Danio rerio: one gene and its partner. The protein of the gene in region 1 purifies or fractionates together with the protein of each later gene. This does not show direct contact. Links are inferred from orthologs where the notes say so. Each region holds a gene or a part of one and is shown in the gene's direction. Other genes may lie near its edges.

Region 1 (4,794 bases):
TCGTGATTGTCACGGTTTACAATTAATTCACACATTGTATTTGTTTTGTGATGCCTTTGCTACCGCCTTACTTTAAATCCTGCAGTTTGACTATCGTGAATGTACACACAGTGAAGTGTCAATAATGTGTGGGTGGTGCAACTCTTTGGGACTTTAAGTGTAAATGTAAGCCTAAATAGAATCTACAAATCCATTTTGTTGTCACAAGGAAACCATAAACGGGAATATCAGAGCGAACCTAACAAACAATCATATTTGGCTGCATCCAAAATCACATACTCTCTGTAGGTGGTGCTTTTAATAACTAGCTTCAGGCGTGTTCTATATAGTATGAATGCAATCTGCACCGACTGCATTCACATTATATTTGTGAAGTGACGTAAAGTTACAAAAGACATCTACCAGTTGTGTTGCTCCGCTGCCATTCTCAAAACATTTCCATGATCTCATGGGAAGGTAAATTTTTCCATCTGATGCATTCTTTGGAATATTACTAGATACAGCGAATTCTGGCATGCTACTTTTTGAATGCATCCAAGTTAGTAGGCTTTGAAAACATTGTTGTTGCGTTATGAAGACTAGATTAACTCAGAGCAGTTGGAGTAATTGTATTTGTAATATCAAAGTGTATTCTTCATCCTTAACTTCCATGTGTAAGCGTTCTCTTATTCTCAAGCTGCTGAGACAAACTTACTTAGGAATAGAGAGAAGTCATGAGCTAAGAGCAAAAGGCGTAGTCAACCTTGTTGCTCTGGATGACGTCAGCATCTTTAATAACTATGCAAACAGTGATTGGTTGATGGGGAGTCTATCAGAGATTGATTCAATAAAACTTTGTAGAGAACAATATTTCGTTGCCCTATTCAAATAGGGGGGGGGGGGGTAAATATTTTTGAAAACCTTTTTCTTTCCATAAGGGAATACTAGTGAGGATCTTTTGTGAAGATTTTGATTGGTTCTTGGATTCACTCTTGTTATTTGAGTACTAGAATACTATAAAACTAAAACACCTGCCACTTACATGTGCACAGTTTATAAGGTTGGAAAGATTACATGATTGGAAAGAGCGTCTAATGATGACATTAGATTTAAAGAGTGTGAATACTTTTTCATCTTGGATTCATCATTACGTACTTTGACCATACAAGCCTTTGAATATCTCAGATCTTTTGCAAATAGACATCTTCAATTAATAGCAATTATGTTATTTCCTTCTTTTTCAGAACGAAAAGAGCACAAACGTGATTCTTCTCCTCATGGAATTCCTGGGTTTCCGTTCACTACACCTCACTTTAGCCCTCCTGGTCCCTGTCATATGGGTCCATCTCCAATGGGGCCTCCAGGACCACCTCATATGGGGGGTCCTCCTCACCACCCTCACCCAATGGTGCACCCAGGTGTGACCTGTGACGGGTGTGATGGGCCGGTGGCTGGAACCCGTTACAAGTGCACCGTTTGCCCCGATTATGACTTGTGCCCCACCTGCCAGAGCAAAGGCCTGCACAAGGAGCATGCCCTCCTGCCCATCTTTCATCCTATGGCCAACGTGTTTGAGGTGAATAGCACTATTTTACTACATACAATACACTGCAAATGATCTGAATATTTTGGTTTGATTAATCTTTTGTGTGCAGTGGCTCCCTCGTGGGAAATTTTGGCGTAAGATGAGACACTGCATGTGGGCAAATGCTCAAGCTCAGGCTCAAAACCAGCCTCAGCCAGGTCCATCTGGAGCGCAGCAAAACCAGGATGCTCCTGAAAACCCAAATGAGAATGGTAAGCCAATCATTTAAAAGGGTCTATAGCAGAAGTCAACTCAGCTCCTGGAGGCTGAAGTCCCTCCAGAGATTAGTTCCAACCCTGAAACTGAGTAGGTTGTGTGTTTTTTTATAGAAAGAAGAGTGTTTCTACAGGTGGTTTGTCAATCCCACTCACCTGTGTAAAGCACACTTCAAATGTAAAGTTTTTTTGTAATGTGTCTTATGCAAGTGTCGGTTAAAGTGTCAAAATGATGGAGTGTGATTTCTACAGGTAGTTTTGTCAAGCCCACTTACCTGTGTGAAGCAGGTTTGTTTAATTAGGGTTAAAGTTAAACTTTGTAGAGCTGTGGCCCTCAAAAAACTGAGTTTTACACCCCTGGTCTATTGTAACAGGAGGAACTGGAACAGAATTGGGGCATGTCCAAAATTTTCCTGACTTTATTCTTTTTTTTTAATTATTATTTTATAGGTGCTACTGCCTCTTCTCAGGCTAACGTGGAGTACCTAAAGAACATCGGAGAAGAAGTGGCAGCCATGTTAAGCCCCCTTGGTAAGTCGCCTGCTTTGGTCTTTCCCAAATATTTGGTTCCAACACAATCTGATACTTCTTTGATTGGCATGTTAGGCAAAACCTCTGAAATAAAAGTGATTTTTCCTTTGTAGGCATAGATGTGGACATCGATGTTGAGCATGAGGGAAAGCGGACCAAAGTAACCCCAACTCCTCCTGCCTCCAGTGGACCATCCAGTGCTCGGAGTGACAGTGGTTCTGTGGGGCTTCTTTCTAGAGGCTCTGGTCCAGGAAGTCAGGCCACTGAAGAGAGCGTCAGTGAGGGAACAAAGGTAACAGATACCCTCTTAGCTGTAAAAGGCCTGATCGTCTCAAGTTTTCAACCTAGAAGGAGGCCACATATCATGTTAACGTTTATTCATTCTCTGTTTCAAAATGGCAGAAAGACCAATGTAGTGATGAGGAATGGACTCATCTTAGTGCTAAAGAGGTGGATCCTTCGACAGGAGAGCTGCAGTCTCTTAGACTAGAGCAGGACGGGGCAGATCTTCCAGCTCCACTAAATACTGCTTCTGGCACAAGCACCAGAGACGGTCCCACTGGTCTGCGCGAGGCAGCTCTCTACCCACACCTTCCTCAAGGTAAAGTGTATAATTATTTATGCCCAGTGATGTTCTCTATTCTAGGCTATCACTTTATATCAGTTGAAGCAATTCTAACTTTACTGCGCTCTCCTGCAGATGCAGACCCTAGGCTGGTGGAGTCTCTGTCTCAGATGCTCTCCATGGGTTTCACCGATGAGGGTGGATGGCTAACCAGACTGCTCCACACCAAGAATTACGACATCGGTGGTGCTCTGGACACCATCCAGTACTCCAAAACACCAGGACAACAGAAGTAGAGGTGGAGCACAGGAATACAGAAGACCTGGGCCATACTTAATATTTGAAGCTTCTGGCCTATTTTCTAACTTAGTCTTTCTATACTTTTAAAATGATAAATTTCCACAAATATTAACAATATCAATTACTCAGGTGACTAGTACATAGTTAAGTTCATCATTGGGCTTATATATGCAAAATGTTTGTCTTTAGCTTAACACTTGACATTATAAAGAACATTATTTTCATGTATGCATAATATTACGTAAAGGTTGTTAAGTAGAGATCTATATTTGTGCAACTTCACTTTATGGATTTTCTGTTTGCATAATCAATAAGCAGTTTCTAGATCAAGCATAAACCTGGAGGGTTTGTTAGTTTGAATAAACAGATGGAATCGGATTAATGTCGCTGTTGGTCTTCTAAAATTCCTGTCTTTTCTATCTACAATAAAACACTTCTCTAAAACATTCCTTGTGTTTTGGTGTTTTGGTATTTTGAAATGTACAGGACTAGTTATGAATACAAATGTAGATCAATGCTAATAGTTTAACAATTTATTATTATTTTAAGGAAAATATTACTTTTTTAACATTTTTAACCATCCTTGAAAGCAAACTTACCTAAAATGTGTCATCAAAGTCTTCATCTGTACAAAACAGTGGGTTTAAAGATAAGCTGGAATATGGTGCCTTGACCAGTACGGGTTTACAGACAGCATTTTCAAAGCCTACAGACTTTGTGAAGCTGGTGGTTGGACAGGATACATTTCCACCAACATCCTTCTGTCTGTTTAGAATGCCACTGTCCTTTTCATCTGCTGGACATCGGCGCTCTTCAAAATCCACACCAGTATCTGCTTTTGTGAAATAATGGATCTCAGTTTTCTTACCATTTTGAGATTCATAATCGTACACATCCTTGTCCTGAGTGGGGACGATGGTGAGAAATTTACTCCATTTGGAATCCTTGTTCTCAATTGTAGATTCACCAAATGTCTGATGAGAAGAAACAGAGGGGCTTTCGCTCTGGATGGGAAGGTGTTTGTTTACATCAGCAGTTGGAGGCCTATAGGAAGATTTAATCTGCTGTTTATTTCCAATAGAGTTTTCCATGGTGTTTGTGGAACTGGAGCAAGCTGTAGGGTAATGATCAACAGTCTGTCGGGATGATGGGAGTTTTGTTCTAGCACTTGGTACCACATCATCTGGTCTGTGGCAGTTTGAATATTTGGAAACACTCCCTTTATTCCATGATGAACTGGACCTCTTCTCAAGTTGTAGCGGCTACAGAAGATACAAAAGTGAAATGACTTTTCTATATATTTAATCTAATAATCTTTTTATTCCAGCATTACTGTCAGGTTTGTGCAGCGAGTCTGGACATTTTTCATAATCTCAGCATACAAATCTGTCATTAATATGGATATCTGTGACTTACCAGATGGGCCTGTTTCCTAAACTGGGAATAACCAGATCTTGATTCCTCGTAGTTATCACAATTCCCACCAAAAGGCTCTAAACTGGACATTTTCTTCCTTTTCCTGTTTAAAAAAATAACAACCTTTAACATTGATATTTGCTCAGATGGTTTTCAGTAATGATGCAAGGCAGTATGGATATTGTACTGCTGCCTTTAGAACT
Region 2 (5,852 bases), on another chromosome or scaffold:
GATGCAACAATAAACTAATTTTCTTCACACATTGAAGATTAAATACATGATTAAAACACTGATCTAATAAGCAGGTGACATATAAAGTAGGGCTGGCCAATTTGGCCCAAAATTTAAATCTTGATTAACTAAACATTTTGACTCTGTTAATGAATGATTATATATTAATTTTATTTTTTGTTTTGCCCTCATATTTCACTGACAAGTTTTGTACAGTAAATATGCTCACATCACATATTACTAGTAAGAGATAGTTGAATGATGGGTGCATTATTGATTTTAAAATACCCTAAAACATACCCTATCTACTACTTACAATTATTTATTGAACATCAACGTTGAACAACTGAAATTAAAACACACATTACTCACAACCTTTTTTTACATTAACCAAAAAACTTTTTTCTTATTAAAAAGTAAAAATAAATTTGCGCTTTTGGAAACAAAATTAATTGGTTTCATTATTTTTCATATTAAAAGTAAAAAATATGTAGTATCTAAATCAAAATAACTAAATTAATAGTTTCTTCATCAAATAACTTGCAATTCCTGTACATAATATTTTATACTGTGCATTTCTAACATCTTTAAACAAATATTTTAATGTAAATAATAACTTTAATGTAATGGACAATATGCCGTCTCAAGGCATCACTGGCGTTTTCGACACATATATATATATGAGCAATATCACACTCGTAGCAGTGCGATATGGCTGTATATCGGCACTGGTGGGAGCCGTGCGTGCCTTAGTGCCCCCACCAGTGCCGATATACAGCCATATCGCACTGCTACGAGTGTGATATTGTGTTTATAAAACAGTTTGACGGCATAATAGTGTATATAAAAACTAAATTAAACATGGAGAGTCTCAAAAACCCTTTTTTATGAGGAACTACTTTCTTCCGCCTTTGATTCAAATCATAAGCTGACAGTTAAACAGCTGAGCAAGCATCTTTTAAACTTTAGATCTGTAGTGTCTGCTTTTTGCTGGTTGTATGTGGAGGGAGTAATACACAAAGGGTAAAGGGGCTTTACGGGTGCTGATATTACTTAAATATATCACGGCTATCAGCCAATCAGATTCAAGAACCAGACAGAACTGTTGTATAAATATAAACACAGACACACACACAACACTAAAACAGTTAAATGTTGCAATATTAAAATAGTTTAAATTTGTTTACTCGTGCAAAAGCAGTGTTTACATTTTATAGCTAAAATTAATTAACTTACTAACGATCAAAGAGAGAACTGGAGGGGTCAGATATAAGTTATTTTGACTTTGACCGTCAGTAAAATAAAAACCTCCTGTTTTACAATGACAATTCTTTTCTAATGCTTTAATTAAATTAGTTAACTATAAATATGTGTGTAGTTGTATACACTGTATTCTAAACGTTTTGTATCTAAATTTTACTATAAACTTAATGTCAGCTACCAGTAATCTCTCCGAAAAGGTAAACGAATCCTCCTGACAGCTACTCGTCACTACAAAGTTTGCATGGGTAATATCAGACATTAAAAACACAAATCTAAAAGAGATTACTTTACAGCGTTTTCGACACATAATTAAACATCCGATCAATTTTCTACCTGTGCTGTGCAGTAAGAGCTGTGGAGAAAGCGCTCACCCGTGGACTGGATCTTGAATTCAAAATAGCTCTTGTTCTGGTGGAGAGGGGCGTTGGCGAGACAGGCTCCAGTTCCACAGATCCGCCTCCCGCTTTTCACGATGACCACATCCGTCCCTGGGAAAAAAGGCCGAGCAAACTCTCATGCCCACACAGCTACAACACAAGGTACGTATTTCATGTTTTCAGAGATTTCAGCAGAAAACGAGACTGAGATGAAAGTCACATCATGGGTTCACTAGATTAAAATAAAATCAAAGCAAACACTGGGATCTGACAGCTGTATGCTAGCATCTAGCATCTGATCCAGAGTAGTTTGGGCTACTTAGCTGATTTGAGAGTGAAATTACATGTATGAAAACATTTTCTTAAAGACCAATAATGGCAGAGCTGTTTATTATTTCGTGTTCAGGTCGTTGTTTTGAGGATATAACGTTAGCACAGTCTGCTAGCGCCGCTTTTCGCTATTACATGTGTGTTCTGTGACCCTGAACATCAGTGGTAGTGGCTCTTACCCATGTGATGCGTGTCTAGCTGAACGGTGGGCATTTCTTTGAGGGGCGCATGACCCGGTCCACCGTCCCCGCAGCAGCCCAAACAACACGTAAACACTGCGGCCATTCTAGCGCCGAGATCACCGGAAGTGCACTTACACGCGTCAGACTGAAGAGCGCACACGCTTCCAGAATAGAGAGGAGCTCATGGAAAAATCATTGCTAGCTGATGCTGATTTTCTCCTGACGCACGCTAAATTCCTCCTCAAGGGGGCGCTAACAGGCTCAGAAAGGCCAGTCTTGCTGTCAAACTATTATATTGGGAAACTTTTTACACACACAAATGTTTAAAACAAGTTGCTTAAGTAATTCTTAACTATTTAAAAAGCATTTATTTCTACAAAATTATTTTTGTACTCACAAATGACTAAAAATGATCTAACAACGAAAAAAAAATCTTAAATCTGGGGTCCCCAATCTCTAGGGCTGGTGTCTCTGCTGAGTTTACCTCCAACTCTAAATGAACACAACTCCCTGGAATTTTCAACTCCAATAGCTTGATTAACATGTTCAGGTGTAGTGTTGGGGGAAGTTCCTTTTAAAAGTAATGCAATATTGAATTGGTTCCAAATTAGTAACTAGTTGCTTTACTTAGTTACTTTTTAGGGTACACAATGTGTTGTTACTTTTAAGTTTCTGTTTCGTTTACTTTCAGAATTTGCAGGGTTTTTTCTCTAATTTCTTTCTTTTTTAAAATAGAGGAGCCCTGCAATTAACAACACACTGTATTAATTTCATTTTCCTTTAAAAACACACACACATAAAAAAAATGAAGGTAGGATATTATCCTCCGAAAACTTCCTGACCCCAGAGACATGCCATATACACAGAATCATAAAAGTTTAAAGTAACATGTTTGCTACTTTTGCACTTTTTGTCTTATTAAAAAGTAAAATCACTGCCCATTCAGATGATCCTCTTTTCCTGTTCTTACATGTGTTCAAAATAATGAGAATTTTCCATCACAGATATGTAAGGCTCTGCCACTTTCATTTTGGACTGTTCCTGCATTCTCCCATAAAGTGCGTGATTCAACATGACTACGTTCATTTTAATTTAGCATTTAATTTTGTCAAAGCAAAATAAACTAAAAGGTAAGCCGCATTACATTTTTTAAATAAGTAACTCAAATATTATTACTTCATTTTGAAAAGTAATGCGTTACTTTACTCGTTACTAGGAACAGTTATATTATTATGTAACTCGCTTTACTTTTAATGGGTTATCCCCAACACTGTTCTGGTGTGTGAGGTTAGTGTTGAGCTAAACTCTGCAGGACACCGACCCTCCAGGAACAAGATAGGTGACCCTTGTCTCGAACATACTAATAATTTACATCACAATGTTCACACAGAAAAGCTTTAGAGTCTAATCATTTTACCATTGGCATTAATTCATTATTTTCTAGCATTCGACGATTCTCAGTGCAATACTGATTACATGTAATCTGGATTAAATGATCACATTCGAAGAAAAATTAAAAAATTTTTAATACTCAGATTGAAATTCTGTATGCATTAAATAATATTTAATGTAGGATTAAGTTCAAACCTGCTTTTGTTTTCATTATTTCCATTATTTCCATTTCATGCTTATTAATGTATATTTTTATGATTTCATTATTAGCTTTTTATTGAATCACAAAGTCCCTGCAGTTCCTCCACAAATCAGTCTATTCAAACTTGTGTTATAAAAGAGTTCTTAAAAGTAGTGAACTGATCAAATACTTGAATAACTGTATTTGGTGTAATGTCATTTGTAAGTATACAATGACTTTTAATGGCAATGAAACTTATACAGTAGCAATAGAAAAACAGATAAACTCGCATTATAACAAGCATGGTATTTTTCATTTACTTTATTATGATTATTCACAGGGGAGTTTTTTTTTTTTTTAAACAGAACTGAGAATAAACGCTATAGCAGTACTTACAGCAACAAATTGCAAAAAAAGTTTTAAACAGAGGAGAAAAATGTCATCACCTCTCAATAAAAATAACAGCATCATTACTGCAGTCTTAAATGTCACGTGATCCTTCAGAAATCAACCTAATATGCTGCGAGTAAGATTATATGTTATTTGGATGATTGGAAAATGTCACATTCATTGCCGTGTGCTTTAAGTTCAAAACTAAGATTTCTTATTAACTGATCAGAAAAGTTTCAGTTAAAAGCAGTGAGATCATATAACACTTCGTGTTGATGAATTCGAGGGATGAAACCGTATGCATTAAAATGCAGTTATATGAACTGATGTGCCATAAAAACAAACATTCAGAAGCACTTATCCTATTTCTGTGACAGATCACTGGGACTCTCGCCCTCTCGTGGCCAATTACGTCATTGCATACGCTTTCATCCCTGATTCGACCAATGAGCGCGGCGCTTCAGAAGCCGTTCTCTTCCTGATGGCATGGAAACAGGGGAAGAAAAATCGAGGTCAAAATATTTTGACACGTGACTCGGTAGCGATTGGTTATCGATGCGTCAAGACCCTGACACATGGCACGGGCATATGCGACCAAAGTGGCGTGATGGAGGACCATCTTTGTGGCAGAAAATACGGACGCGCTTTTTAGTGTCTGCCTGCAAAGCCATGACTAGATCGAAATGAAAAGCGCGTAGTTACTGCACTTGACTGAATGGATGAATTAGGCGTCTATGTGGGTACATGATGGGTAACGCCAGTATTGACGTAATCTGTGGAGAAACGCTGATCTAGGAGAGAGCGCGAGTGCTCCCCCGCAACAACCCCATCCAAGAATGAAGGGATCCTCTGCATTTATTGCTCACAGCACGAAACGTGTGTTCAGCTACCCGAGTCTCCAAATACACTGCGTTACGCGGATATTGCGCGCAATGTGGCAGTGAAACCTTTACATTCAGATGCACTGATCATTAGCTGTTCGTGCGCATTCATTTTAACTGCCTGACCATTACTGCCTTGACCTGAACTAGTTAAAATTTCCCAATTGGAAAGGGCGAATTCTGCACAGCAACAAGAGCCACGATTGCGTTGCACACTGCCTAAGCAGTTAGTGCGCTTCTGGTCCAATTGCTGATGCTTTCCTCCTGCAAAATCTGCCACAACCGTAGTAATACCTTGACAACCGAACCCAGGCTTACAGAGAAACATTTTTGACAACTCGACGACGGAGATATCAAATCAATAGCTTGAAGTTTGTTGGACAGGTCATCGGATATTCCTGCGCGAAAGTTCTCACGCGGGCAATTAAGAATGAAGTACTGGTGCAGTCAGGAGTCTTCATCTGCAGGCAATCTGAACTAGTTCATATTTGGTTAACCAGTCGTGCCTCACCACACAATCGCTTGAAATGCAGTGGAAAATGCGATGCACATCATATTGATAAAAATTGCTACATTTATACAGCCTATTTGGTTTAATTTCAGTGTAGCGTCGTAACGCGTTATCGCAATATAAAAGCTTTTTTCGAGGCAAAATAAAATAATTGTATGCTTATGATGTGCAAAACGACACAGGGCAGCGCTGAGTGCTCTCGACTTCTCACTCGGTGTGAGATGCACGAGAAGGAAGCTTGCCGAGATGATGAGAGTTGTATTGATGTGCCATGCCCCCGACAAGCTTTCATATCAATATCTTTTTCCACTTTAGGACAGGATGGAGCTTTTGGAGGAGGACCTC

What was found. Proteins that work in one complex are often made in the same cells at the same time.
Region 2: the proteins of sqstm1 (region 1) and trim13 purify together in Homo sapiens (affinity purification with western blotting; 3 studies listed by BioGRID). This does not show direct contact. The link is inferred for Danio rerio from reciprocal best matches to the Homo sapiens genes SQSTM1 and TRIM13.

What each region holds. Positions count from the first base shown.
Region 1 is NC_133189.1:19,143,441-19,148,234, forward strand, and holds the end of sqstm1 (sequestosome-1), read left to right. Parts: exon of another isoform or gene 1-1,223; coding exon 1,224-1,555; exon of another isoform or gene 1,556-1,634; coding exon 1,635-1,776; exon of another isoform or gene 1,777-2,229; coding exon 2,230-2,310; exon of another isoform or gene 2,311-2,423; coding exon 2,424-2,602; exon of another isoform or gene 2,603-2,654; intron 2,655-2,712; coding exon 2,713-2,911; intron 2,912-3,010; coding exon 3,011-3,171; 3' UTR 3,172-3,621; downstream 3,622-4,794. Other genes in the region: mrnip (MRN complex-interacting protein), read right to left, coding at 3,775-4,437, 4,592-4,694. UniProt on the Homo sapiens protein: Molecular adapter required for selective macroautophagy (aggrephagy) by acting as a bridge between polyubiquitinated proteins and autophagosomes.
Region 2 is NC_133184.1:31,314,721-31,320,572, forward strand, and holds the start of trim13 (tripartite motif-containing 13), read left to right. Parts: upstream 1-1,751; 5' UTR 1,752-1,802; intron 1,803-2,149; coding exon of another isoform or gene 2,150-2,255; exon of another isoform or gene 2,256-2,274; intron 2,275-3,766; exon of another isoform or gene 3,767-5,822; 5' UTR 5,823-5,828; coding exon 5,829-5,852. Other genes in the region: spryd7b (SPRY domain-containing protein 7b), read right to left, coding at 1,635-1,751, 2,150-2,255. UniProt on the Homo sapiens protein: Endoplasmic reticulum (ER) membrane anchored E3 ligase involved in the retrotranslocation and turnover of membrane and secretory proteins from the ER through a set of processes named ER-associated degradation (ERAD).